5 linked regions of the Callithrix jacchus genome follow. The main gene of each other region encodes a partner of the protein of the gene in region 5 in a complex. Links are inferred from orthologs where the notes say so. Each region holds a gene or a part of one and is shown on either strand. Other genes may lie near its edges.

The links.
Region 1: DDX5 (region 5) and SRSF1 share a complex: the UniProt entries of both Homo sapiens proteins name them as parts of the ribonucleoprotein complex. The link is inferred for Callithrix jacchus from reciprocal best matches to the Homo sapiens genes DDX5 and SRSF1.
Region 2: DDX5 (region 5) and ARVCF share a complex: the UniProt entries of both Homo sapiens proteins name them as parts of the ribonucleoprotein complex. The link is inferred for Callithrix jacchus from reciprocal best matches to the Homo sapiens genes DDX5 and ARVCF.
Region 3: DDX5 (region 5) and PA2G4 share a complex: the UniProt entries of both Homo sapiens proteins name them as parts of the ribonucleoprotein complex. The link is inferred for Callithrix jacchus from reciprocal best matches to the Homo sapiens genes DDX5 and PA2G4.
Region 4: DDX5 (region 5) and HNRNPH2 share a complex: the UniProt entries of both Homo sapiens proteins name them as parts of the ribonucleoprotein complex. The link is inferred for Callithrix jacchus from reciprocal best matches to the Homo sapiens genes DDX5 and HNRNPH2.

The regions. Positions count from the first base shown.
Region 1 is NC_133506.1:108,327,933-108,334,871, forward strand, and holds the start of SRSF1 (serine/arginine-rich splicing factor 1), read left to right. Parts: upstream 1-2,828; 5' UTR 2,829-2,951; coding exon 2,952-3,145; exon of another isoform or gene 3,146-3,561; coding exon 3,562-3,746; exon of another isoform or gene 3,747-4,111; coding exon 4,112-4,284; exon of another isoform or gene 4,285-4,484; coding exon 4,485-4,671; exon of another isoform or gene 4,672-5,044; coding exon 5,045-5,067; coding exon of another isoform or gene 5,068-5,083; 3' UTR 5,084-6,939. UniProt on the Homo sapiens protein: Plays a role in preventing exon skipping, ensuring the accuracy of splicing and regulating alternative splicing.
Region 2 is NC_133502.1:211,747,499-211,753,759, forward strand, and holds part of ARVCF (splicing regulator ARVCF), read right to left. Parts: coding exon 5,928-6,261; intron 4,950-5,927; coding exon 4,450-4,949; intron 3,803-4,449; coding exon 3,619-3,802; intron 2,812-3,618; coding exon 2,694-2,811; intron 2,311-2,693; coding exon 2,139-2,310; intron 1,473-2,138; coding exon 1,455-1,472; intron 537-1,454; coding exon 465-536; intron 1-464. UniProt on the Homo sapiens protein: Contributes to the regulation of alternative splicing of pre-mRNAs.
Region 3 is NC_133510.1:63,563,934-63,567,984, forward strand, and holds the start of PA2G4 (proliferation-associated protein 2G4), read right to left. Parts: upstream 2,801-4,051; 5' UTR 2,608-2,800; coding exon 2,520-2,607; intron 394-2,519; coding exon 265-393; intron 1-264. UniProt on the Homo sapiens protein: May play a role in a ERBB3-regulated signal transduction pathway. Seems be involved in growth regulation. Acts a corepressor of the androgen receptor (AR) and is regulated by the ERBB3 ligand neuregulin-1/heregulin (HRG).
Region 4 is NC_133524.1:97,711,526-97,717,750, reverse strand, and holds the end of HNRNPH2 (heterogeneous nuclear ribonucleoprotein H2), read right to left. Parts: intron 4,210-6,225; 5' UTR 4,157-4,209; coding exon 2,807-4,156; 3' UTR 2,007-2,806; downstream 1-2,006. UniProt on the Homo sapiens protein: This protein is a component of the heterogeneous nuclear ribonucleoprotein (hnRNP) complexes which provide the substrate for the processing events that pre-mRNAs undergo before becoming functional, translatable mRNAs in the cytoplasm. Binds poly(RG).
Region 5 is NC_133506.1:89,759,570-89,765,376, forward strand, and holds the end of DDX5 (putative ATP-dependent RNA helicase DDX5), read right to left. Parts: intron 5,543-5,807; coding exon 5,432-5,542; intron 5,207-5,431; coding exon 5,145-5,206; intron 5,054-5,144; coding exon 4,994-5,053; intron 3,749-4,993; coding exon 3,524-3,748; intron 3,314-3,523; coding exon 2,910-3,313; 3' UTR 1,268-2,909; downstream 1-1,267. UniProt on the Homo sapiens protein: Involved in the alternative regulation of pre-mRNA splicing; its RNA helicase activity is necessary for increasing tau exon 10 inclusion and occurs in a RBM4-dependent manner. Binds to the tau pre-mRNA in the stem-loop region downstream of exon 10.

The sequences.
Region 1 (6,939 bases), about 19 Mb from region 5:
TTGTTGAAATAGTATCTCTTTTGGTCCTCATCAAAAAAAAAAAAAAAAAAAAAATTCAGGCTCTGGCCAGGCACAGTGGCTCACACCTGTAGTTCCCTCCCTTTTGGGAGGCTAAGACAGGAGGATCACATGACTTCAGGAGTTCGAGAGCAGCCTAGGTAACATGGCAAGACGCCATCACCATAAAAAATACAAAAATCAGTCTGAAGCGGTGGTACAGGTACGTACTCTACTAAAGTTACAGGTACGTACCACCGCTTCAGACTGATTTTTGTATTTTCTGTAGTGATTTTGCATTTTTTGTAGCTGTAGTCCCAGCTACTTAGAAGATTGAGGTGGGAAGATGGCTTGGGTCCAGGAGGTTGAGGCTGAAGTGAGCTGTGATTGTACCACTGCATTCCAGCCTGAATGACAGAGCAAGTCCCTGTCTAAAAAAAAAAAAAAAATTGGCTGGGTTCAGGGGCTCATGCCTGTAATCCCACCACTTTGGGAGGCTGAGGCTGGTGGATCACTTGAGGCCAGGAGTTCGAGACCAGCCTGGCCAACATGGCAAAACCCTGTTTCTTCTAAAAATACAAAAATTAGCTGGACATGGTGGCACATGTCTGTAATTCTAACTACTTGGAAGGCTGAGGCACAAGAATGGCTTGAGCCAGGGAAGCAGAGGTTGCAGGGAGCTGAGATCACATCATTGCACTCCACCCTGGGTGACTCAAAAAAAAAATACATACATACATATATATATATATATATATATATATATATATATACACACACACACACACACACACACATATAGTTCTTTTCCCTTTTGGGATCTATGGACTCCTTTAAGAATTTGATTAAAATTTCAAATCCTCTTCCTAGAAAAAAGTACACACATGCATATATTTTTGTAGATGTACACATGCATAAAACTTTGGAAAATATTACAGAAAGTTCGACTACCGAACGTCATCTGTGCATATATTGAGGGTCCACAGACACAAGACCAAGCATTCCTGCTTATTTCAATTTGATTTTTTTTCTTTTTCTTTTTTTTGAGACGGAGTTTCACTCTGTCGCCCATGCTGGAGTACAGTGGCTCGATCCCGGCTCACGGCAACCTCTGCTCTCCGGGTTCAAGCGATTCTCCTGCCTCAGCCTCCTGAGTAGCTGGGACTACAGGCGCACGCCACCATGCCCAGCTAATTTTTATATTTTTAGTAGAGACAGGCTTTCACCATATTGGCCAGGTTGGCCTCAAAACTCCTGACCTTGTGATCTGTCGGCCTGCCTCAGCCTCCCAAACTGCTGGGATTACAAGCGCCCGCCACCACACCTGGCTTTTTATTTTTATTTATTTATTTATTTATTTTTTGAGACGGAGTTTCTCTATTGTTACCCAGGCTGGAGTGCAATGGCGCGATCTCGGCTCACTGCAACCTCTGCCTCCTGGGTTCAGGCAATTCTCCTGCCTCAGCCTCCCGAGTAGGTAGGATTACAGGCACGTGCCACCATGCCCAGCTCATTTTTTGTATTTTTTAGTAGAGACGGGGTTTCACCATGTTGACTAGGATGGTCTCGATCTCTTGACCTCGTGATCCACCCGCCTCGGCCTCCCAAAGTGCTGGGATTACAGGCGTGAGCCACCGCGATTGGTTTTCACCATGTTGGCCAAGCTGGTCTTGAACTACTGACCTCAATGTGACCCGCCCATCAAAGTGCTGGCGTGAGCTACCACGCCCAGCCTGATTTTAATTTGAATTCATTACCTTAAAAATCCCTGGATTTAACATAAAAAATCTAGATTTTAGACGTCGGAAAAAAATGTAAAATATTATCTCCCAAGACTGCAGGCAAGTAGATCACAGTCCTGAGTAGCAACCGCGGTCTCTAGTGGTTACGGTTCTCACATCCATTTCGCTCCATTTTATTACCTGAGAGGACTGGTAGTTTCAAAACCTGGTATATCAGTAACTTTTAGGGAAAACTGCACACACGCACCCCTTCTTCCTTCTCTTTATTTGAAAGGAAACAACGGAAACAAATTTGCAAATCTTTTGCGCCAGTCCCACGGATAGGCGACTAACAAGAGATACAGAGGTGTGGGTCCCAGAGGCGGTACGGTGTTTTCACCCCTTCCGGATAGCTAGTACGACCTACCCACCGCGACTAAGCACAAGGAGTGCTGAACTAAGCTATGCAAAGTTCTGACCAGAAGGTGGAACGGTACTTAGTGAAGAGGATTTATTTAGGAATCGAAATCGGTTTTGCTAAATTAGACAAATCTCATTGTCTAAGGAGCCACGCCCTGTTCGCAGGAGGAGAGGGAAGACAAACCAACGCCCCAGCTCTCCAATGGCACCTCAGCTCTGAACTAGACGCACTCTACAAGGATGCCTGGGTTTCCGGAGCAACCGCCCGGTCCCTCCCCCTTTGGCCCCGCCCCCGAGACTCCTTCCCGCCAAAGGCCGTTATCGCCGCAGAGCATGGTGGGACAAGGCTCTAGGCTAGGTTTCACCAAGTCCTTTCAAGGCGCCGAGTTGCTTTCAGAGATCCTCATTCCTGGGGAAACTGACTGTCCTTCAAGACCCGACCTGGAAGACTAGCTCCTTTAGAGAGAGTTCTTTATTTAACTTTTACCAAACGGCCACTCTATTCGCAAACCACCCCAAGCCGGGAACGCGGGGGACTTTTTTTCCCCCTTCGTGCGGAGGGTGACGTCGCGCGTGCGTGCGCGCGCGTACGTTGAACGTAGTCTTCGCAGCGCGTGCGTGTTGGGATCGAATCGCTGTTTCCTTCCGCTTCTCTTCCTCTGTCTCCCCCCCCCCCCATATCCGTGCGCCGAACTGATAAAGGCGCCATTTTGGAGGGGCCGCGGGAGACGTGGTGCCGCTGCGGGCTTGCTCTGCCGTGCGCTAGGCTTGGTGGGAAGGCCCGTTCTCGAGTCCACGTTTTTCGTCGCCGCCATGTCGGGAGGTGGTGTGATTCGTGGCCCCGCAGGGAACAACGATTGCCGCATTTACGTGGGTAACTTACCTCCAGACATCCGAACCAAGGACATTGAGGACGTGTTCTACAAATACGGCGCTATCCGCGACATCGATCTCAAGAATCGCCGCGGGGGACCGCCCTTCGCCTTCGTTGAGTTCGAGGACCCGCGGTGAGGCGGCATGGGGCTTGCAGCCTTGAGGAAATAGGTCCGAGTGGTCGGGGAAGACTCCAAGGCCTTAATATAGAGAACGGGAAGGCGGGGGCTCTTAGAGAGGATGGGGCGAGACTGTATCGCCCATGCAGGAGTCGAGTGAGGAGCTGAGTTGGTGTGGCTTCTCTGGCGCCTCGCCTTGGACGTCCCCGGAGCCCATTCGCAGGCTGGAGCGGGAAACTGAGGCGCTGAGGGCTGGTGTAGTGGCTGGGAGCCTGGCGTGTTTCTGGGTGGGGGAGGGGTCATTCCCATTATGCGGCGCATGTGGGCTCTTCCACGTTGGGTGCGCATGTGCGGGGGGTTCGCTGGTTCCCGACTGAGCGATCTTCTCCTCCTGGTCTTTCTCATGCCTTTTACTGTCTACGATCCCGCAGGGACGCGGAAGACGCGGTGTATGGTCGCGACGGCTATGATTACGATGGATATCGTCTGCGGGTGGAGTTTCCTCGAAGCGGCCGTGGAACAGGCCGAGGAGGCGGCGGGGGTGGAGGTGGCGGAGCTCCCCGAGGTCGCTATGGCCCCCCATCCAGGCGGTCTGAAAACAGAGTGGTTGTCTCTGGTAAGTCTACCGGTTGTGTGGTTGATGTGAAGGGACGGAAACTACTTAAAAATTTTCTCTTGCGTGACCGGTTTAACAATTGCAAATTTTTCATGCTAGGTCTTAAATTGCTTTAGTTTTTGGGTGAATTTAATAAACGAGGATTGCTGCTGTGGTGATTTACCAAATTAGGTTGCGGTACTAGATACGAAGATCCGTTACAAATAATTTTGGACTCTGGATTCCAGAATCTTACCAGCTCTTTACCTGGTATCACTTAAGTACAACTATTAAGTATTTTAAAGTACTCTTTGTCCTAATGTACCTTATCAGCTTAACGTGAAATTTAAGATAATTGATACTAAGAAAAAAAATCGCTTTTTCAGGACTGCCTCCAAGTGGAAGTTGGCAGGATTTAAAGGATCACATGCGTGAAGCAGGTGATGTATGTTATGCTGATGTTTACCGAGATGGCACTGGTGTCGTGGAGTTTGTACGGAAAGAAGATATGACCTATGCAGTTCGAAAACTGGATAACACTAAGTTTAGATCCCATGAGGTAGGTTATATGCTTATTCTTTTTTTTGACCAGAATTGGATACAGTGGTCTTAACAGTGGAATTTGAAGGTAAGGATTCAGGCAAGGGTGTCCAAGTAAATTGCCAGATTTCTGGTTTTAGTTACATTGTATTCATTCAGCATGCCTGAAGCTAGGTGAAAGCTTAGATCTTTCAATGGAAAGTTCTGTCTATCCAATAGGGAGAAACTGCCTACATCCGGGTTAAAGTTGATGGGCCCAGAAGTCCAAGTTATGGAAGATCTCGATCTCGAAGCCGTAGTCGTAGCAGAAGCCGTAGCAGAAGCAACAGCAGGAGTCGCAGTTACTCCCCAAGGAGAAGCAGAGGATCACCACGCTATTCTCCCCGTCATAGCAGATCTCGCTCTCGTACATAAGATGATTGGTGACACTTTTTGTAGAACCCATGTTGTATACAGTTTTCCTTTATTCAGTACAATCTTTTCATTTTTTAATTCAAACTGTTTTGTTCAGAATGGGCTAAAGTGTTGAATTGCATTCTTGTAATATCCCTTTGCTCCTAACATCTACATTCCCCTCGTGTCTTCGATAAATTGTATTTTAAGTGATGTCATAGACAGGATTGTTTAAATTTAGTTAACTCCATACTCTTCAGACTGTGATATTGTGTAAATGTCTATTTTGCCCTGATTTGTGTGAACTGGGATGTTGGGGATGTTTATGGTTATCTTACCTGGGGAAGTTCTTATGTTTATCTTGCTTTTCATGTGTCTTTCTGTAGACATATCTGAAGAGATGGATTAAGAATGCTTTGGATTAAGGATTGTGGAGCACATTTCAATCATTTTAGGATTGTCAAAAGGAGGATTGAGGAGGATCAGATCAATAATGGAGGCAATGGTATGACTCCAAGTGCTATTGTCACAGATGAAATTGGCAGTATTGACCTTATACTAAAAGGCAGGGGGGTAAAAATGATTATATACATTTTCCTTAAAACACTTGAATGTTTTATTCAGTTACCTTTAGCTACAATTGCTTTACCTTTTAAACCTTGGCAATTGTGGCAAAATTATGTTGCCCATTTTGTAGCAACTTATTTTGCTCCCTTCCCCCCATTTTTGTTATAATAGGGACTAATGTGGGAAGAACTGGCTAATTTGTCGCAGTGCTTAGTTACAACTGTTAATGTGTGACCTGCTGTTGGTGTACATGTGGGTAGAGGGTGTCTTTAAATCCAACAAGATAGAGTATAATATCAATACTGCTAAATCTGCATGTCCTCTGTGTGACTGATAGAGCGTTGCTATTTCATTTTTTTAAGACAAAATGAAAGCAAAATAATAGAGTTCCAATGTATTGGTGTAGATAATCTAGTTGGGAATACTTAGGTCTCACCTTCCCCTTTAATATTCATAATTGATTCATATGTTTAAAACACTTTAATTTACAAATTAAATTGCAAATGGGAGCATTAGATTTAGTTTTAGATTAGGTGGGTAGCAATGCCAGTAAACTTAAATTACATAACTTCTTGCAACCACGAAACCTGTAATACACTGTACAGTAACAAGTGTTGGCATTATCAGTTGAACTGTAAATATAAGATGCTTCTTCCAGTTAGTCTCTATGATGATTAAGTTTCTAAAATTTATCTGAACACCATTCAGAAACTTGTTTTGGGGAATTTGATAGTTATTGATGTGCATCTGTTAAACTGATGACTGACATAACTCATCATTCCCCAGAAACCTTTTTTGATTACAGTATCTAACGTTTTGCCTCCTCTTTTTTGGTTTTGCTGGTTATAAAGGTTTGGATTGGAGAGGGCTCACTGGATCCCAATCCTTGGAGCTGGATCATTGGATTCAAATCATAATGTGGATAGGATAGGGAGGATGAATTACCAGGATTCATGGAGCGGGATCAGATTACCAGGAACATAGGAGTGGATTCCTGCCCCAACCAAACCGCATTCGTGTGGATTTTTTTATTCAACTTAATTGGCTATTCCAAAGATTTTTTTTTTTCCTATTTTTGACGATTGGAGCCCTTAAGATGCACGATGGAATTGTGTTTTGCATTTTTTGGTAAAAGGAGCAAAGCGAGGACCTGGAGATAAACGCTGGAGCAATCTCCTTGGAAGGATTCAGCACGAGTAGATGGTAAACATTTAAAGGGGAAAAGGGGGGGGTTTGTTTAAAATAGTAAATCAGTAAGTCACTTCTAAATTTAAAGAAAACAAAATTGGAGTTGAAGAATAAGTAGGTTTCCAATTGGCTATTGCCATTTTTCTTTGAAAAAATAAACATTTTTTAAAAAACTATGCATGGTTGTCCTTTTTCCTCTTCATGTAAGATTCTAACTGGGTCTGTCAGTTAATCTTTAAATTGTTAAGTAAGATTTTGACTCTTGTGTTTATATGTTAGCAAATTAAAAGTTCTTAAAAGGCAATCTAATGGTATTAGCTATCTTTTATTGTTAATTGTAAAAGTCTTCAGGGGAAGGCAAAAGGGGAATAAGGCGTTTGTATATGTAATGTAAATGATGGTGGGGGGTGGGTCTAGCATCTGAAAGATAAGCTTCTCAACTTTGTAAAGTGATTTAAAAACTACAGATGCTGCTTATTTTCTGGTAGTCATATAGGCAACAGGCTTTTGTGCAAAATTGGTTGAT
Region 2 (6,261 bases), on a different chromosome or scaffold from region 5:
AACAGGCACTGGCCCTGCCCCTATAACTGTTGGGCATTCTCTGGCCCTGCCCCTCTGGCCCAGCCTCTGAACCTGGATGTGAGCATGCCCTCCTGGCTACCAGTCCCCTCAAATGAACCCATCTCTGTAGCTAACATAGAAGGCCCTGACTCCATTGGGGGCGTCTCTCCAAACCTTCCCACCTCTTACACACCGTGAGACTGAGATAGCACCTGGCCTCTCTGTGCCTCTGCCTCCCTCTACTTTACCTGACATGACCCATGGCACTGCCTCCCATTCTAAACCCTCAGCAGGTGTCCCGGTGCTCAATCATCCTCCAGGAAATCCTGCACCTATGGGCCTCAGTTTCCCCATCTGTTTTCTGAGGCCCTCCAGGCCTGCCAGATGGCCCAAAGCTTCACTACCAGGGAAGTCCTGCGCCCAGACATCCCCCAGTGGAGCTGGCTTCGTCTTAGCCCACTCACCTTTGGCAGCCTCAGTTCGCTTGGGCAGGTCCAGCGTGTCAAAGTTCCGGTCCATCTCACCATCTTTCTTTCCTAGAAAGGTGGCGGGCGGTGAGGCAGACCCCATAAGGTGCATGGGTGTGTCAGGAGGGGTGAATACAGTTCTCTCCTGCCCAGGCCCCAAAAAGCACCCCCACATCCGGGCCGGGGCACTAAGAGGCCCTGGGAGTAGAGCACTGCTGTCAGAGTCTGGGCTGACAGTTTAGCCCAGGGGAAGGAGTTGGTGGCAGTGGGGCCTGGAGTGTCCCAGCCCTGCCCCTAGGACTCATCTCCCACCTGCTGCTGGGAGCTGTCCCTCCCAGCAGTTCCACTGCAACTGCCAAGTGTGTAGACCGAGGAAGTCAGGAGCCCTGGCTGGATGGCAGGTGGATGTAAGCGGAGAAACTGAAGGCTGACCGGGACAGGACTTGCTTGGCTCACACAGTAAGGCAGAGCTGGGTAAACTCCCCCAGTCTGGGGTCAGGACATCATCCAGGCTCTACGAGCCAGGAGAAACTCCACAGTAGCCCACCTAACATCTGTGCAGCCACCTCCGTGACAGTGAGCCCTGTCTCAGCCACTCTCCCTGTCTCAGACGATGCTTCGACCCTTTCAGGAGGCAGCAGAGCAGAACCAGATGACCTGGGGTGCCTGCCTGCTCACCCTCACGGGACACTTGTATCCTCTGAGCCACATGCTGCCCCATTCTATCAGAGAAATAGACTCTGCTCCCAGGTGTCCCTAGACACAAGCACAGTGCGGGCCCTGCCCACTCTTGGCTCTGCCCAGGTACGAAAGTCTGAGGTTACAGAGTGAGACCCTTGGCCTCCCCACCTGCCACTGTCATAAAGATGTCTGTCCAAGTGACGAAGCCAGGGCTGGAGCAGGGCCCTGGGGCTGGAGTGTGCTCCCCTCTTCCCAGGTGCCCACTGCACATGCCAGGCCTGGAGAGCAGGATGAACAGGGACTCACCTTGGTGGAACCACTCCTCTGGGCAGCCGGAGAAAGCAGAGGAGAGAGGAGAGGAGCCTGAGTGGGCAGCACCCGTCACCCCCCGTGCCCTCCCAGAGGCCTCAGGTTCCCACTGCACACCCTGGACCAAGCAGGCAGCATGTGGAACTTCATCCCACCACTCTGGGCACTGAGCATCCACCAGTAAGACAAGAAAGGGGAGGCCTAGGTCAGCGGAACAGGCAGGCGGTACACAGGACCCCACAGCTGCTGGGGAGGTCCCGGGAACCTATACCCTGCCAGTGCAGTGAAGGTGTGCAGGGCACCTCGCCCAGGAAAATGGGCTGCTGCACAGGCTGGTGGTGGTCTATAGCCAGCATCAGCCATGGCTCCTCCCCAACTTGTGGGCCAGTGAAATAAATTCTCCCCAGGAGTGGAGAGATTGAGTCTGGGCACTGATGGGACCACCTGGTTTCCACTGTGTCCTCCCTGGGGGTCCCACAGTGCAGATGGGGAAGGCTGGAGCTGGGCCCCATCAACCATGTGACCCAAGGCTGTGCAGCCTCCTTAGCTCCCTGCTTCCCTGCCTGCCTGCTGGGGGCTGACCAGGTGTCCTCTGGCCTCCATGATGGGCTGCTGTGGGTATACAGAGAACCTTCAGCTAGGGTAGGAGTCGAGAGTGGTACCCCAGTCCACCCCACCCACCTTTGGCCTTCTTGCCACCAAAGCAGCTGGCATCATCCCGCCTTCGGCGCTGGGAGCCTACAGCACTGCCCAGGGGCCCAGGCTCGGCCTCCTGGTATCTGTCGGCCCCGGGCACCTCCTTGTGCACGTGGTAGGACAGATTCCGCATGATGCACACGCAGTTCTCCACCGACTGCAGGGAGAGGTGAGTGGCTGGGGCAGGGTACCCTCAGCACAGGGCCAGCCCTAAGGGAAGACTGGCCACAGCTGGTGTGCATTAAAGCATCGGGAGCAAAGGGACAGGGAGGCCTCAGTAGATGGGGGGGGGTGGCAAAAGGGTGATAACTGCCAGTGCCAGGGAGGGTCCACAGGAGGAAGCCCCTGCCGCATGGACCACCTTCCACCTACAACACTGTGCCCACTTCAGTGTGGCCACTGCAAAGCAGGCTATGCCCAGGGCGCCGCCTCAGACCCTCACACTCATTCTCCTGTGCTGCCCCCACAGCTCTGGCCTCCCAGGACCTGCGTGATGGTCTCTCCCGCCCTTGGCATGAGGCTGTGACTGTCCCCGCCCACCTTATTGTCCGTGTCCTTCCGGCCCACCGCTGACTGCAGGGCATGCAGGAGCGCGTCCACCAGCCCTTCACACTCCCGGAGTCGCCGCCGGGCCTCGGCACCATCGGAACTTACATTCCTGTGTGACCAAGAGCAGGCCAGGTGACCCCTGGCCACCAGAAACTCCCCATCCCCGCCCTGACCTCAGGAGCTTGTCTTCATTTGCAAAATAGGCCCTGCTGCTGCCCTCTCAGTCTACTGGGAAAGGACCCCGAAGCCCGGAGCTCAGTGAAGCGGGAGAAGCTAACTGCCCCCAGACCTCAGGAGGGGGCCCTGGCAGACAGCTGTCTTGGTTGGGGACAGCTGGGCAGGGGAAGACAGGGCTTCCTGTCATCTGGGGATGACCTGGCAAGGGACAGGTAGACTCAGACCTGAACCTGTGCAAGAGCAATTCTGGGTTCCTTACCACCCCAATGGCAGCTCTGGGCCCCACCTTGCCCCAAGGTAAAGAGCCTGAAGGGTTACAGGGGAACACCCTGACCGACAAGCAGGACTGTGGGGACCCAGGACACTGTGGGGTTGGCAGAGCCTCCCAGGGGTAAGAGGGGAAGGGCAGAGGTCACAGGTGGCTGGAATGAGCCTCCCAGGCAGATGAACAGGAAGGTCCCATCTCCCCCTCTGGCTGTCACATGATGGAAAGGTGGGTGGAAGCTGGGCAGGGCTAGGGTACCACAGAGACCCCTCCAGAGGGTGCCCCTGGGGAGACTGAGGCACCACTTGGGGGCGAGCACAGCCCCTCAGGCCCCACGTCTCATCCACAGGGCTTGTGCCACAGCTCTGAAGTTCCAAAGGTCCAGGCGGCTGGCCGCCATCTTCCATGCTATCTGGGACCATGAGGACGGGGCCTGGTGTGCATGTGGGCTTTAGCACTGGGTCTGCTCCACACCTCAGGCAGCCCGACGTGTTCTTGAAGACAGTTGTCCACTCAGCATCCCGTGGCTTGGAGTCCTCGTTGGGCTCACGCTCCCACCCTGAGTGGGGCACGATGACCTCGTGGGTCAGCGTCTGTAGGCCATGGTCAATGATGGCCATCTTCAGGGGCTCATAGGATGACAGGTTCCACAGTGTGCCTGTGGGGTGCGATCGGCCAAGTCCTGCTGACCACGTGCACTGCCTCCCACCTCCCCAGGTGGCCACGCTCAGGACCCGTCCCACTCTCCTCCTGTCCCAGCTCACACACAACGGGAGAAGTAACAAAAGCCGTGAGTGGTTCTGGGGGGCACACAGTACCGGCTTCCAGCCAGGAAGGTGCCCCAAAGGGGATGAAGTGCAGAAGAAGGCATGGCACTGCTGTTCCTTCCTACCCACTCCCTGCCACGTGGCAGGTGGCACGAACACTCTCAAGGCCACAGGGCCTCATGGAGACACGGTCAAGTGACCCCACCTGTCTCTAAGGTCCTACAAGGCGCAAGCTCCACCACTGTACTCTTGGGATGGGAACCAAGGAGGCGGGTCCCAGGGGAGTTTCTGTGGGGTCAGGAGGTGAGGGCATGCCTGGGGGGCCTAGTGTCAGCCTCCCCGCTATGGTAGAGACTGGGGAACGTGTCACAGTGTCTAGACCTGACGCCTGCCTCCCGGGGCAAGCGTCTCAGCAGCTGCACTCCTGCCAACCCGCACGCTTTCCCGGGCAGTCGCAGGCCAAGTGGCCTTGTTTCTCCCGGGCTGAACCCCGCACCCTTCGCTTCCCAGGGATGTGGGCACAGCCAGGTCCACTCACCAGTGACCAGTTCGCGGACCTCGTTGTCCCGGGCGGCCCGCAGCAGGCGCACCAGAGCAGGCACACCACCACAATCCCGGATGGCGGCTTTGTTGTCAGTGTCGCGGCCATAGGAGAGGTTGCGCAGTGCCCCACAGGCCCGGCGCCGCACCTCAGCCCGCGGGTGGTCCAGCAGTGCCACGAGCAGTGGCAGCCCCCGCAGCTGCCGTACACGCCGCTTGATTCCCTCGTTCTCAAAGCACAGGTGCTGCAGGTAGGCAGCCGCATTGGCCTTCACGGGGTCCACGGGGTGCCTCAGCATGGCCAGCACCTCAGGCAGCTCCGGGTCCCGCCAGCGTGGCTCCTTGCGGGCGCTATCCACCGACGGTGAGCGCCGTACCAGCCGATCCAGGCTGCCCAGGCTGCCCCGTTCAGGCTGGGCCAGGGGCGCTGTCACTGCTGAGAACGCAGGCCGCTCACCCAGCAGTTCACTGCCATCATCTGCAGCATCCTCGTAGGCCCTGCACAGGCGAGTGGGGCACATGGGACATCGTCACAGCAGCCACCAGCCCTGCCTCTGAGCTGCCCCATCACACCTTCTTCAGGACTGCAAACTCACCCAGCAGGGCTGGGCTGGGAGCACAGTATCTCAGCCCCAAACATGGCTGGGGCATGGAGAGTCATGCACCAGCCCAGTGAGAACTAATTTAGAGCCAAATGCCAAACCCCAGCCAGCAGCTATCAGTCCCCTGGCAACCCTCCCAGGACAGCAAGCTCGCTTACTGCTGTCACCAGGCGGTGTTCCCCGATCCCGAGCAAAACATGTCTCTGTGCAACATCTGCTAGGGCTGCTGGAGAGCCCACCTCCCGTCCACGAAACCACCCATCTTCCATGAAGCCCGTCTCTGCCTGTGCCAGCATGCAGGGGGAGTAAATGACCCTCTCCGCATGAAGCCATCCCAGTAGGACCACCGAGGAGCATTCATCCGGCCACCAGACCCTTTGGGCACAAGATCTCCATAGCTCTCAGTAGCCCTGTGGGTTGCTGTCATCAAACCCACTGGCCCGAGGCGAGGAGTGGCCAGGTGACTTGGCCAAGCTCGCAGAGCAAAATCCAGACTTGGGTTGTGGTCATGTCTCCACTCCAGAGAAACAGAAACTGAGGGCAGTGGAGACAGAACCAGGGTCTGTGACAGGAAGGGCCAGGGCGGGCCAGGGCTCTGGGTTCTGGTTATCCAGGGTATGGCTGCAGCAAGGCCAGTGGCCGGCACTCTTCCCAGCTTTTCTTGGGCCCTGGGCCTGCAGGACGGTGCCCAGCCGAACTCCTACCACCCCAGGGCCTACCTTTCTTCTGTCTCTGACAAAAGCCAAGGACAACTCAAACTAACATGCATGACTAACTCAACTGCAGCCACTTGACAAGTGGAGCACCCTGTAGCTGGGGGATGGAGGGTGGACTTCCCAGAGGAGGCAGCCACAGGGGACAGGGTGCAGCTCACCTGGTGTGAAGGCCCCGCCCACACTCAGGCCTCCTCCTCGTGGCTGTGCCATAGTCAGGCTCTAGCTCAGGGCCGCCCTCATCATCAGCGGCCAGGCTGCGCGTGTCATCCTCCAAGCCATATGGCTCTGCCTGGAAGCGCTCGGGCAGGGAGCGGCCACCTGGTGGCCCAGACTCAGGACCCACAGGGAAGGCCTCCCGGTGGCCAGGCAGTGTGAAGCAGCCATCGCCAGGGCCTGGGCCAAGCGGGCCAGCACGTGGGGGCCGCATGCCCAGCCCTCGGGACAGGCTGCCATAGCTGGGGCCGTCCCGGGGCTCGGGGCCTTCGGGAAAGC
Region 3 (4,051 bases), on a different chromosome or scaffold from region 5:
AATCATCAGCCTACTGCCTTGCTTTCTCCTGGGAGCCCTGTTGCCCTTCAGAAAAGTGTAAGGATATTTTCAGGGACTTGCTTAAGCTTTGATCAGTTTGGATTAGGAAGAAAACTGCTTGTATCCCATTTGCCATTCCAAATTTTCAAATATCTCAACCAGAGCTGGAGTGGAGACTGCATCATTACAATGAAAAAAATAAAACATATAGAACTAAATAAGGGTCAAATGGGAAATTAGTGAGGTTTTTTTTTTTTTTTTTACCTTTCTTCATTTCCTTTTCTTTTTTGAAGATTTTCCCTGTTTCTTCCATAATCATGGCATCACCTTTCTCACACAGGCTCAGTACCGACACACCTGAGCTAGATGCTTCCACCAAGGACCGAAGTACCCCTGAGGACAGAATGCCATCATGTCAGCCTTGTATGTATTTATTGTCTAGTTACCACCCAAGGAATACCTGGAAGCTGGACTTAGGAGTCTGTAATACTCTCTAGTGCTACTGCCCCGAGGCTGAAAGGACAACATTCCCTTCCCTTCCTTATTACGTTACAAGTGGGTATATACAATCCATCTTCCTAGGCAAGGCCTTGGACTTTCCAAAGATGCTACCTTTGGTGTGACAGGACAGAGTTATGAACTTTAGAGGGTTCTTGCCAAGGTATGCCCACATACACGCAAAGACAAGATGAAATTTATAGGCATCAGGGACAACAAGAAGGTAGACAGAATTGCAGACTCGAAGCTGATGCATTATTAAATGTTACCGCCTTCCTTTCTCAGACATTCTAATTAGGTGTTAGGAATCTCAACCTATGTAGACTTATTTCCTCATAAACAAGAGTATAAGCCAAAGGGGCTTAACCTAAGGTCCCTGGGTTTCATTTCAGGGGATCATGGCTTATCTCAAAGAGATGTGAGGCCAAATTTACAAAATTTATATCTGAGATCACAATGGCCTGAAGTTATAAACTGCAAAAAAGAGACTTTCTGATTCAAACTACTATCTCAAATACTAACAGGCACCAAAAACCAGGGTACTATACTAAATGTCCACTGTGCACAGGTTTGATTTTTGAAATCTCAGTTTTGGTGATTCTTTGAAAGCTGGTAAAAACTCAGATTTTCACCCACAGGACCGGAGGCATCCTAAATACCGCTTCCCCACCATCTTTGCTGTTAAAACCATTTAAAAGCTGGGCACAGTGGCTCACACCTGCAGTCCAGGCACTTTGGGAGGCCAACGTGTGCGGATACCTGAGGTCAGGAGTTCAAGACCGGCCTGGCCAACATGGTGAAACCCGGTCTCCACTAAAAATACAAAAAACAAGCTAGGCATAAGGACATGCTCCAGTAATCCCAGCTGTTGTGAGGCTAAGGCAGGAGAATCGCTTGAACCCAGGAGGCGGAGGTTGCAGTGAGCCAAGACTGCGCCATTGCACTCCAGCCTGGGCAACAAGAGTGAAACTCTGTCTCAAAAAACAACAACAACAAAAACCAAAAAACCACACACACACACACACCCCAAAAAACATTTAAAAGCCCACGGACAAGCAGTTTCTATCTCCCTGAGTTTTAAGTAAAATGGAAAGGCGAATTGGAAAGAGAGAAAAGAGAAAGTGACATCTGCCTACAGTGACAGGCTACTGCTGAGATCGTCAGAGCACAGCTTGAATAAAGATGACTTGTGACAATCCTAAAATCAGTCCTCTCTTTTCCAGTACTGTTTGCAAGCTTGCCTAGTTGGGATAAGACGGGGACTCCAAAACATTTGAGTTGTCAAGTCACTGAGAACAACAAATGTGAATGCTAACTAAGGCTATCTGCACAGATTGGAAAGGTGGTAGTAATGAGTAACTTCAAGAAAAGCCATATATATCTCCAAGACTTTGGTTAGAAGCTCCCGGAGTGCCCTCCAACGGATCCCTTAGCTGGTCCAAGGGTAGAAGGGGGCCCCCACCAGGGTAAGAGCTGAAGTAAAGGAAAGGCTCCAGCAAAGCACGTGGCAAGGAAGCTGGTGTCAGGGACAGTAGTGGAGGAAGAAGGGGGCCAGCCATCCGCAAGGGGACCCAGCAACACGTGCGAGAGGCTCGGCTCCTGAAGCCCCAGAGAATCGACAAAACAAGAGGGGGGCTTCTGTCGCCAATAGCTGGGCGCTTCCTTTTCGAGGTGGCCTCGCCGCTGCCAGAATCAGATGAAGCAGAAATCGGGACTGAAGGATTGGAACAGGAGAAAACCTGTCTTGCCTCCTAACAAACGGCCTCGGGTCGGAGCCTGCCAGGGGTCCCTCTCTGCGCTCATCCCAGTCGCCGGCCCACACGTCCACAGACTTCAGCCTGGGCCTGGCCACTCAGGTCCCAGGCGCTACACCCGGTCTTTCCACCACGCCGCCCCCAGAGAACCGGTGCGGACCCCTCGGTAGCTCACTCCGCATGACCCCTCCTCTCCAGCCCCTTTGGGGCCAGCCTGGCACCTTTCCCTGTCAGCTTTGATTCCCCGACCCCTGAGGCCGCACTCACGGTTGGCGATGTCGCCCCCCATCTTATACTTGGTCACGACCAGGTCCTCGGCGATAGTTTGCTCCTGCTGCTCGTCCTCGCCCGACATCTTCCTACCACCACCACTGCAGCCTGGTTTCCCCTGAGCCGCCGCCTCTGTCCCCGTTCCCAGCCTCAGGCTGTGGTCAGAGTCCCCTAGATCCTCGAGGAGAGGGCGAGCGAAAGCGCGAGCAAGCAAGGGAGCGGGCAAGCTGGCGAGAGCGAGAAGCTGCGAGCGCGCGGGCTGAGGCGCAGGGCACGCTGGGACAACTAGTCCTCTTCACCGCCAGCCTCTAGCCGCCCTCGGGGGCTTGAGAACTACAATTCCCAGCCTGCCTCTCGCCCTCCTAAGCCAGGCCCAGGGGCCTTGCCCTCCAAGGGCCTCGCACGCCGGAATTGCCGGGCACGCTGGGAAGGGTCAGGCTCCGGCGGGAAGGCGGAGCCGTTGGGGAGCTTGCGGGGAAGCGTGGTCTCTCCCGGAAAAACCACTTCCACCGAGAACTCTGAGCGAGAGCCCGTAACAGAGAGGGGCGGGCCGAGGGGAGAGGGGCGGAGCTACGGCGGGGAAATAGGTTTAGAGGCAAGGGTGGAGCCGGGGCGGGTGGGCAGTGTCTACACCTAGGGCGGGGAAGCGGGGTGCGCCCTTCCTTGGATCCCTCGATCGGCTGGCGAAACCCGCCCAGCCGGTCCAGTAGTCCTGCGAAGCTGGGAGAATAGGGAGAGGCAGACAGATGGAAGAAGACCTAGGGTGCTGGGAGCAGGGGCTAACTGGGCAGCCAGAATCCGGAGGGATCATCCATTTAAAGGCCTCCCAATCTAGAGGCTGGACTCCTTAAAGAAGTAACATGACATTGTTCCAATAACAGGCTGGATGGAGCACTTAAGGGAAGTGTTCAGAAAGACAGATGTTTGTTGAGAGCGCTTACTGTGAAAAAACAAAATAAAAAGATTTGGTGACTTTTCTAAGAATGAATTCAGAAACACGTAGAGGTTTCAGTATTTGGCCTCTGAAGGAGACCGGACACGTATATAGTGCTTTTTATAAGTCCCCAAGCACGTGGGTTATTTGTTTTTGTTATTCTCAATTGTTTTTGCTTTGTAGATTCCTACTAAAACCCCAAAGGACTATAAGCTATGCTTGTTCTAAAGAAATACAAGTAATAATAGGACTAGAGAAAGCTGCATGGGACGGAGTAGCATTGTCAGAAGACAGAAAGGTGACTGTCCTCTGCTGAGGAGATCTATCTAACATATGAAATGTTTTCATTTGACAGACAGGAAGCTGAAAAAAACTTTGGCATTTTTATTCAGACATGTATAAAAACAAAACATTTCAGTGATACAACAGATATTTTCCCTCAGTTCCCCATCCAAAGGAACAGAGGCGTGAAACTGGGTCTTCTTTCTATCCTACCTGGAAGCTTCTTACTGCTGGGATGAGAATGGCTCCTAAAAGTGAATCTTGGGGGAATCCTTGTGAATCTGCCCTCAGATAAGGAGTAAAGATCATTCAC
Region 4 (6,225 bases), on a different chromosome or scaffold from region 5:
GGCAGGGGGGTGCGCAAAAAGAATCTGCGTATTGCATGAGGTGTAGGTTCATGCTGTTACTGATCCAGGAACCACACCCTGAGAACCACTAGCAGAAGCCATCCGATACTCTTAGGCCACGATAATTGTGGATGCAAATTTTCTGCCTAATCGTGCCAAGTGGGTGACAAACGCAGATGAAAATAAATCCCCGACTCAGTGTTTTGGGGTGTTGTTGGTGGGCTGCCCGCTCTACTCCCAGCAAACTTTCCTGGATAGTGTTAGATTTGCATGTTGGAGCACAAGTGGTGGTGTGTACACGCATGTGCACACCAGCTGTACTGCTGTCCCTTTGCATACCTCTATTGCTGACCACTGACCTTCTCCAGGTTCTCTCATTTGCTCCTCAGAGACCTTCTGAGTTTTCTTATCCAGCGAAGTAAGCCAACATCTAAGACCACAGGAGCCGTCTATTGTTTCCTGAGATTTGGTGCCATCTAGTGGCTAACTTGAGAATCTTTGCCCAGATCCAGAGAAACTTCTAGAAAATTAACTGAGTAGCCTGGAAAGGCAAAAAACACCTACTTGTTTACCCTCCAAGAAAGGCTTCCTGAAGGACAAGGACTGACTCAACACGATAGGAGTCAAAATGGATTTCTTGCTCTCCTGAGAGCTGTGATAAAAATTAGAAGTCAGCAAAGAATCTCAAATCATGTCCCACTGCACCTTTGGCTTGAATGAGTTTTTGGAATTGATTTTCATTTCCTGAATGAAACGGAGTCGGGTAATACCAACTTGGTATTTGCCTCCCATCTCATTTCTCTGGCCCTCAAGCCGTAAACAGCCCACATAGAGCAATCCAGTTCCCAAGTGGTCAAATCTACAAAGAGATCTGTAGTTCAAGGTACAGCTGGTACTGATCAGAGGGACATCAGGACCTGAAGGTCACTGAGGTGTGGAATTGTTAATAACCACTGTGGTTCAGACAGAAATCTAAGATATCAGCATGATACCACGGGTTCTCAGAATCCTGGGAGGTCTGAGGCATTGTAAATACGTGATTGAGACTTTAATAGAAAATTTAAACTACTTGTTACAGGAACAAAGGGGAGGAAATCAGGGATCATAAAGGAAGCTGCTCCTTAAAGTTGCTGTTTGGGGAACTGTGATGGGTCTCAAAACATGGTCTTGAGACCAGCAGCATCAGCACATTCTCAAGCAACATCCCAAAACTACTGAACTGGAAACTCTAGGGATGCAGCCTATAAATGAATGTTTAAGTAAGCCCTGCAGATGATTCTGATGCACATGAAACTTTGAGAACCACTGGTTTAAGATAAGCTTTAGATGCCCTAAAAAACACCTGGGAGTGTTTAGAGACTCTACTAATAAATTCATGGAAGAGATAATTTATTGCCATAACATAAGCCTGCTTCATTTTTATGTTTTGTTTTCAACACATAATAATTGTAAGCCTACTTCTTTTTTAACATACAAAGGTGCCTTCTAGTTTGTGGTGAAATAAAAAGGATTATTTATTTGCTTTCACTTCTTTGGATTTTAGAGAATACTATATTGGTAAGAACAGTCTCCAAAAGTAGTTCAACAGTCCTGTAGACATGGTAATAAGTTTTTTTTAAAGAAAATGTTCAACTTTAATATTAATCAAAGAAATACAAATTAAAATAGCAAAGATATCATTTCTCAACTAACAAACTGGCAAAGATCAAAAAAACTAACGTACATCAATAAGGAGGGTATGAGGGGGAAAAATAAAACACACAGTCCTCTAGGTAGAAAGATAAAGTACCAGAATCTTTCTGGTAACACAAATCACAAGCCTTAAAAATGGGTATATCCTTGACTCAGCAATCCCATTTCTAGGGATGTATCTTAGAAATAACTAATGATATATGCAACAATGAACATATAAAGATGTAAATATAATTTTTAAATTAAAATTTTTAAGAGGGAATTATAAAATCAGTGTGCCCATATGACAGAACATAATAAAAATCAGAGCAAGATTTTTTCCAGTTTTTAAAAGGAAGATTTATTTAACAAGTTTCACTTAGTACAATACATCTAAATGGAAATCACAATACAAGGAAAGATTTAAACCAAAGCCTCAGAATCTCATACAAACGACACGACCAAACTTCTAAAGTATTGGTATTACATCTTAAAATTGTCCCGTATCCTTTAAAAAAAAAAAAAGTAAAAGTGTACACTCACGTGCCTTACAGAGTATTAAACCAAAAAGCTAGAATTAACAAACATGCCAAATGTTTTCACTTTGAATCGTAGACACAGCTCCTATATTTGAGTTTTACAGAAAAGCATGTTTCTCAACATGCATCCAAAGTTTTCAATGTATTTGTGGTATAAGAGCAACATTTAACATAAGTGAAACTGCATTAACCTAAATAAGCTTACTGCTTAAGTACACTCCTACAACATAACTAACTTGAGAAAAGCTAAAAATCGTTTAAACAGTTATGGTCAATACTGAACTTTGTTATTATGTCCTAGATGAATGTTTCAGTGTTCAAAATTACTGAACTTGAAGTTTCAAAATAATCTCAACTCCCACTTTACAGTAAGCATGAATCACAAGCCTGTAATGCAAAACTGTTAAACTTAACTTTTGTTTTCTTAAAAAAGGAGAAAGATAAAGAAAGAGAAGCTGACCAAGAGTGATCAGTATCAATAATATTTCCCATATGCCAATCATACTGGATATACTAGACATCCCTCCCATTCTATTCAACTCCCATAAATGTACAGCTTTTATATCTAGAGTAGCTGTTTAGTGCTCCTTCTCTACCTAAGCAAGGTTTGACTGATAGTCACTGGAGTTTTCCTGGAGAACTTGGTCATATCCACTCATACTGCTCTGACCACCATAACCACCTCCATAACCACCACTCAGCTGCTGGCTAGCAGGACCGCCATAACTAGACTGGTTGGATAAGCCCATCCCTCCCATCATTTGGCTACCATAAGCGCCACCACTTGCCCCTGCTGTAGAATTCAAAAACAGTTCTACATAGCTGTGATCATAAGCCCCTCCACTTGTTCCTGCAGTAGAATTTAGGAAGAGCTCCACATATCTGTGTTGCATATTAGCCTTGTCTTTTGCCATAGCTGCCACAGCATCTTCATGAGTAGCAAATTCAACATCTGCCTCACCAGTAACTCTGCCATCGGGTCCAATTTCAATATGTACTCTCATGGGATTAAGAGGTGAGAAGAAATTATAAATATCATTCTCAGTGGCTCTGTAAGGTAACCCCCTCATGTGTACACAGTGCCCTGTGGTGCTCTGGAAACTGGACCCACCATCTCCATATCTATGATCAGACATTCCTGAAAAACAGTAATTGAGGTCTCTTCCAAATCTATCTGACCCAAAGCCATATCCATCATTATAGCCACCATAGTCATCATAGCCTCCATACCCTCCACCATAGGCACCACGCCTCATCCTTTCAAACCCAGCTCCTCTGCCAATGCTATTATACCCTCTGCCAGCCCCTGGCCTATCATAGGGACCTGGCCGCTGCATAGCCATGAGCTTTCGAGGGGGATCATAGTGGGTTCGAACTTCAGCTCGGCTACTCTTGAAGATCTCAATGTACCTGTGCCCTATTCTTTCCTTGTGTTTCTTTAAGGCCTTCTCAGCTATCTCCTGCGAAGCAAACTGCACAAAGGCTTCCCCTGTGCTTCGCCCCTGAAAGTCCACTGGCAGTGTCATCCCATTTGGCACAATTTCCAACCCTGAAAAGAACTGAACGATCTCTTCCTTGCTACAGCCAAATGGGAGTCCTCTAAGCCGGACGAAGCCATCGTTGGCAGTATCAGGGCTATTCGGACCTGTATGCTTCAACACCCAATCCATTTCAACACTGTTAGACTTGAATACTTCAACGTATCTGTGTCCCATGGTTTCTCTGTCCTTCTTCAAAGCCAATTTCACTTCCTCTTCAGATTCAAGTTCAACAAATGCTTCGCCACTTGGTCTTCCTTCTCTGGTGTAGATGAAACGAATACCTGATGTGCCATTTTGGATCTTGCAATCAGAGAAGAAGCGCATCACTTCATCAGCTGAGCAGGACCAGGGTAGGCCCCTGACCTTCACCACGAACCCCTCCCTGCCTTCTGTGCTCAGCATCATGGTGACTGTTGGGCTCTTGGTGGCAAGTTTGGCTCAACACAATTTTGGTGTAGCTGGAAAAAAAAAATTAGAAGACTACTGTCATGGAAAAATGCTAATACAGTAAAAGAGAAAAGCAAACTATTAATAGAAAACTCAATTATGCTGACAGCTTTGCTGTAAGACATCTGTATAAACAAAAAAGAATTCACCAAATTTTTAACTCATTCATTTTTTAACAGTTATTTATTCAATGCCTATTACGTGTTGGATACCATTAAAAATTAACAGCAATTGGCCAGGCACCGTGGCTCACATCTGTAATCCCAGCACTTTGGGAGGCCGAGGCAGGTGGATCACCTGAGGTCAGTAGTTTGAGACCAGCCTAGTCAATGTGGTGAAACCTCATCTCTACTAAAGATACAATTAGCTGGGCATAGTGGTGGGCACCTGTAATCCCGGCTACTCAGGAGGCTGAGGCAGGAAAATTGCTTGTACCCAGGAGGCAGAGGTTGCAGTGAGCCAAGATCACACCACTGCGCTCCAGCCTAGGCAACCAGGGCAAAATCCCATCTCAAAAAAAAAAAAAAAAATTAACAGCAACAAATAAATGGGAGATGTCAACAAATAAAAGATGGCTATATCTGAATATATAAACATAAAAAACTTCACTAGATCAAAAGATTAAACAATAATTAAAACACAAAACACAAGTTATATAAGTTCTTTATATAATATCCTTATATAAAAATGTAGGCAAATCAATAAAATCAGGGATATATTTAGGCTTCAGAGATAAATGAAAAAAAGACATTATTGGGAATTCACACATTCATTTTAGAAACATCTTGTAGTTGCCAAGTCCAATACTCGGCTCTAGCATACAAGAATCAATAAGCCCACAAAGGGCTTATGGTCCTACAGGGGGATTGTATGTAATTATTAAAGACATAAATGCAAATAGACATTATAATTGCCATGACCCTCTGGGTGAGGTGTAAGCACAGTATTAAGGAGGGAGCAGTTGATCAGTTCTATTGTTTGGAGGCCAAATGGTTAAATGAAACAGACTAACCTGTCTAGGGATCCATAAACAAAATTTTTTATATTATGATGAAGCACAATCAGGAGAGGGAAAAGCAAGAGAAAAGGCTGGCAAGGCATAGATCAGATCCCAAAGACTTTCATATACAAACACTAAACACCTTTTAAGACTTTTAAACTGGGGAGTATGTGGGGTGACTTCACCAAAACCCTTTCAGGCAGATCACCCTGGCAACAGTGTGGCACTAAAACAGAAGGGGGTTGAGGTGAAACTACTGAGATTAATTAGTTAGAACTCGTCTCTTTCAATGCAAAAGGTCTCAAAAAAAAAACTAGTCTCTTAAAGATATGTTAAAGGAATTGTCTAAGCAACAGGAGTAAAATGGAGAAAAGATATGATCCACACATACTGAAAAAAAGTGGAATCTGTGGGACTTGATAACAGATTAAGTATGGGAGAATATAGGTATAGGAGGATACAGGAGAGTTATCTGGAAATATTCAAATTTCATCAATTTCCAGCAAGTTAAAACCAGAACTAATCCTTATTTTTCACCCATCAAGATAATGGAAATTAAACAGTGACCGTAAATCAGTGCTACCCAGGGTTCACAAACTAATACACTACTAGAGGAGTTACAATTGATATAAACTATTTCCTTTTTGATAAATCCCACTATATTCTGAAAGCAATTTGATAATATGTATGACACCTTTTGACAGCAAATACATTTCAGTTATGTGCCCTAAGGAGATGATATGAAACTCAGACAAAGATTTATGGAGCAATATATTCTATGAAAAGTACTTTATTAAAAAAAACTGGAATATCACATATTTTAAAAGTTACAAAAATATTTAATAACATGAGAAATTACTTATGGTATAACTGTAAGTGACCCAAGAGCACAGCTGCTTTACAATCTCAACTATGTAAAAAATACATGTTTCCATAGCCTTTGACATGGCTAGAATCCTTCCAGGAATCTAGTCAACAGAAATACTTACAAATGTTCCTTGCAGCACTGTTAGTAATGGGGAAAAAT
Region 5 (5,807 bases):
CCGCAGTTACCGGAACCCTGGGAGGTCAGAGCGCAGGCGCGACGGCGAAGAGCGTGCTTTCGGGCAGCAGGCACCACCCCGGAAGCGCATCACTACGTTCCGGCCGCGGCCATCCCCCGCCCACCATGGCGGAAGCCGGTCCGGATGGTTGTTTAGTAGCTTGCCGTTCTTCGCCTCGCGCCCCTCCCATCACACTCTCAATTGGTATTTCTTTCCTCGTAAGCACCAGTAATGGTTATTCCCACCTATTTATAACGGCCATAGCCACTTATGTCAGCTTTACCTTCCTTCCCCAGTTTGGCAATCCAGAAAATTAAAGTATTTCCGTTACCCAAATCATCTAGATATATCTCAATCTGAAAGCAGTTCACCTTGAGGCATATACAAATGGCGATTTGGGAATTTACATCAAATTTGGCAAGTTCAACAGTTTTAGTGCTCCACTGTGGTTTTTCAAACCCAAGCCGTAACTCTTAAGCAAATACCGCCCCCTGGGGGCCTAGGCCTAACCCGAGCCGTGGTCTTGATGCTTAAGCACCCAGGCTGCAGTGGGGCTTTGGGACAGGGGTAGTGGTAATCACTTTATTGCAGTGGCTTCCCAAAGGCAGTCCCCAGGCAGCAGCATCCGCCTCACCTGGAAATGCACGATTAATAAACCAAGTGGCCCAAACACTGGTGATGCACAGAAAACCACTAACGTATCTGCGATTTCTTCCAGGGGCTCCTTGTACGGGGTCATCAAAACAACGAGACTTGTGACTGTTTTTTAAAAGACCCATGATTACATCACAGGTTTCTGACTTTACAATTTCTATTTAAATAGGGAAGAACTGCCCAGAAAGAGGAAAAGTTGTATACCCAGACTAAGGAAGAAATCTGATTTTAAAAGCCCATTATTTCTTATACAAGTTTCACTTAGCTCCAGAAACCTTTAAAGACAGAGGTACAGGAGAAAGGAACAACCTCTATTTCACTGGACTCCCAAACTACCATTTGATTATGAGTGGGTAACAGCTTAGCAATTGACTTAATATAACTTGGGAGTAAAGTTTTGTATCATTAGCAAAGTGCCGTACCAGGTTCAGGAAACAGTTCTTTACAAGTGTGTACAAGGGTTTAAAAAGAGGCAAGCTAGAAAGTGAAACAGTACTGCTGGAAAGCAAATATAGTAAATAACTGCAAAGCTAGGTACTACTGCCAGGTGTTTTCCACTTTCAGGAACTCACACCAGGTAAGAGGCCTATACGCAAATAAATAAGAGAGAGAATGGGGAGAAAAATCACATTTATTAGTTAAGACAACCACAGGCTGGACACAACACACATGCTAAAAAGTGGACTGTCTTTTAAAACTTCAAAGGTAAATAGGTAAATGTTTTCCACAGTCCCACAATCATTTCAGTAAGTGTTTACAAATTAAAAGGCCCACGGTTAGACATTAAACAGTAAAATATGTAATAAATGCTCCAACCTACCCACCTCCCACAAAAGCTGTTTCTAAGTTTAAAACCATGAATTTGACTAACCATGCCACTGAAAACCATCCAGGTTACTAGAGGCTGAATTAGTTTTCAATGTTTAAGTTCTAGAAATACTCCCCATCCCAGCCCTAGCAAAATCTAACTTTACATTTAACATAAGGCATTAACAACAATTAAAGCCTCAGTTCAATAATCAGAATTTAAATGAAGTCTCCTTGAGACCTCTCTTCTGGCAAAAGACACATTATGTCAGACTCTGGGAAAACATTCAGACCCATTTCTAGCTATTACTGAAATACATGATCAGAAAGTTAGGTTGGTGAGCCAAAGTTAAATCTAAAGCTATCTCCTGGGTCTAGCAATAAACCCATGTTGAATCTAACATGAAAACTTGTATTCACTGTGCTTTTGGTTATGTTGCCTCCTGATTAGCCATTAATTTTAATGAGGTTTGTTCCTTGTGTTAGAGTATGAATAGACCTTACAGTTTGAAGATCTCTAGAATTCCCTGAATTATTGGAAAGACATTCATGACTCCCAGTGTGACTAAAGTGAAAAGAGCCCCAGGGAGCCTGTGAAAACTATAATCTACAAGTAACCTGCACTAAGGACATTGGGCAAATTCAATCAAGGAGACTCAGGCTTAGCTCTTGGTCATCTTAAAGGACTAACGTCTTTCCCAGGTTCATTCAACATTTCAATAATTCACAGTATAGCCAAGAGCATGAATATAAATCTCGTGAAAAAGCCAGTTATTTGGAGCTTTTTAAATTATAAATTTGCAAAACAAAGTCACCCACCTTCTCACATTATACAGATGACTTTGTATCTATTCTTCTATTTTCTCATTTAACCATACTAGCAAATAAGGAAGCAGGCTATTAAATAACTCCTCTGATGTTGGGAGCTAACAAACCTTTTATCCAATATTAAAAATTCACCTAAATCAATTCATTTTGACTCCAGAAATATGAATAGCTCATTGTAAAGAAGGGCCTTCTGATTCCCCGCCGCCTCCCAAATTAAATAAAAAAAGAGCCGTCATTCGTTTTCATGATTAAAAAAAAATCATCTAAGCAAAGTTTACATGACATATGTAAAATAAAGTACAATTTCCACTTAATTCAGTCTTCAAATATTTTTTATTGGAAGGCCATGCATTGCCTTCATTTATTGTATTTCAAATCACTGTACATTTACTTTTGTGAAAACACTGCCTGCATTTTCTAGTACAAAAAAAACCTAAAAATTGTTTCAGGAATGTAGAGAAATATCCAACTTAAATAGCGAAAAAGTGCACCATAATTACTGCTGCACTGCAGTCATTTCTGCAATTCTCATGTTTCTTAAATAACTATCATCTTGTCTGATAACACACAATATAAAGAGCAATTATGAAAAACAGACATTTACATATACTTCTAAAGTCTTATTGAGAATATCCTGTTGGCATTGGATAACCAATCATAGGTGCAGCTGCAGTAGCAGGATATGCATATGCCTGTTGATTCATACCATTGTGCATATTTGGAACATTACTTCCGTATTGCTGAGTGCTATCATAACCATTCTGGTAAGTCCCTGTTGGATTACCAGTCCTAAAACTGGTCTGTATACCAGCAGACACAAAATTACTTCCAAAGCTCCCATTGGTGTAATTTGCAGCACTGTAAACACCATTCTGAGTTTTTGCCCCAAAATCTCTCTTAAGCAGGCTAGAGTAACCTCTGTCATAATTTTCCCTGTCTCTAAAGGTATTAAATCCACCCCTTTTGCCCGCAGAGTATCTGTCCCGACGGTCATCCTTCATGCCTCCTCTACCCCTGGAACGACCTGTCAAGAAAACAATTGCAAATTGATCAATTATGTCTATGACACAAGTCAGTGCGGACAGAAAGAATTTTATCTATTCATTGTAGGTTTGAAATGTGTTTTACAAGTTTTCACATTCAAGGTTTTACTCACCCTCCAATACCATTTAAATGGATTTGTAGACAATGATGTGACTCATAACTACCAACATTTCCTATCAGTCATCCTTACCTGAACCTCTGTCTTCGACCAACTGAAGCAACTTGGGATTAATTGCTTGATTAGCTTCACGAAGCACAGAGATAAGGTCGCTCACTTGCTTTATGTTATTAGGTGTAAAGAAAGTGTATGCTGTGCCTGTTTTGGTACTGCGAGCAGTTCTTCCAATTCGATGAATATAATCCTCTGAGGAGTTAGGGTAGTCATAATTGATGACAAATTTCACATCTTCCACATCTGTAAGGTGTTGCAGTGTGGCAAAATAGCAATGTACGGAGTTTTGCACACCACAACAGCCAGACCAAAAATAAAAAGTTAGACAATTGTATTCCCAAGAAGGTACGGGCTGCAAAAAATACAGTTAAAATGGTTATCCATTCCCTGTAGGAATACCATTTGAGATTGAAAAAAGAAAAAAAAAAAGCACATGTCATCTGTGTTAAGTCTTCACCCACCCAATGACAGACCCTGTCAAAAGGAATGTGTATCCCTAGCACATTCCCAAATCAGCAAGTTCCCTTACAGATCATCAAGTGACATCTGAATGCTTCTGCGCAGTAGGGCCACTTAAAGTTTCACAGCAACCTCTTCATGTGCTCATTTTGAGGACCTTGAAACAAAAAAATGTACAAGGTCCTTTGCATTACACATTTATCAGAAGTTCAAAATTCTCTGGCCACACTGCTTGTCTTGCCAAGACCTTACAACCGCAGCTGCAAGAAAACATACCTGTCCCCCAAAAGTTGTTTTTATGCACTGTGTCTCGTCTAGGCAAGCGCTTCCAAGAAGCCAGGATTCACTTGAGAATGTGTCTCTCTCTGGCAGGTCTCGACATGACGACTACTGTGTAGGTGAGGGAGGAACTTTCAAAGCACTTTCTTTTCCCACTGACTTAAGTGTGAGAAGTTGCTCCTGCTCTACATCTCATGTGCCAGTACTCACCAATTTGTAAAAGGCTTTAGTACCTTTTAAAGCTGCTCTCTCCATTTCAAACTTGAACAAAAATTTCATTGAACATTGAAGTTTGGAAATATTTCTTCGACATTTCAGCAAACTCACTGAAACTCAAAGACCCACAGATCACAGTGAACAGTTTGAAACAATGCTGTACCATGGCAGTCATGCAAAGCATGGGACAGAAGAAATACCACGGCAGTGAACTGTGAGGATAACTTCCTTATTTTCCCTCGGAGAGAACAGTTTACGGGGCAGAGGTGGTATGTTCTGCCTTTTGAAGATTACTGGCACACGTTCAGCTTTTCACCTCTCTAATCGACTGGAAGCAGCCAGCCGATCACTAGTCCTCCATCCCCCTCGAGTCCTCCGATTGTCATGCCTAGGCCTTGCCACAAAGACTGCACCTTTATGTGAAAAAAAACTTAAGAAAAAATGCAGAGGTTAAAGAAAGCAATAAACTTTCTTTAAAAAAGTTAAATGGAGATCTTCTGGGAAACCAAGCCATGAATGCGAGTTTGTACTAACCTAGCCCTCTGGAGGCCACATCTGTAGCAATCAGAATAGGAGCTTTTCCATGTTTGAATTCTACAAAAAGGAAGGCATACAAATGATCAATTATCTGAGCAGAATTCTAGCTAGATTAAGGAGGGGCAAAAGCTTCATTTGAAATATTTACCATTTAGAACCCAGTCACGCTCTTGTTGACTCTTGTCACCATGGATACCCATGGCAGGCCACCTAAGTTAAAAGACAAGTTGTATTATTAAACTCACATTGAAAAACCTCAAGACTCAACTGCTTAATCACTTTATTCACAGATCCCTTTAATTCCACAAGTAACACATACATCATTTTACCCATACTATCAGATAGGAAACTTAAATCAACTGTTCCTGATCCAAGTTCGCCCTTTCCTAAGCTCAGTTCTAATAAATCTGCTTCAATGCAGGAGCCCACACATACCCATCTCTCCTCATTTTTCTGGTAAGCTCATCACATCTTCTTTTGGTCTCAACAAAAACAATGGTTTTATTCTCCTTCTCACTCATGATCTCTTCCATTAGACGAATAAGTCTAGTAAGAGAGAAAAAGGAAAATCCTTTGTTTCTTTTTTTTTTTTTTAAACCGACCCACCGCCAGAAAACCCTGAGTTTTAAAAGACCATCACTATGGCCACACATTTACAGTCAGCAAAACATTAGGTTTAATTTTACATGGCTAGAAGTCAAAGAAACACTTGCTAAGCCACTCACTTATCAATCAGTTTGACCCTTGGTCCTTAAGTCAACCAGGGGACACACGAATTTCTTCCATAGGAATGCTATAAATGATTACAGCC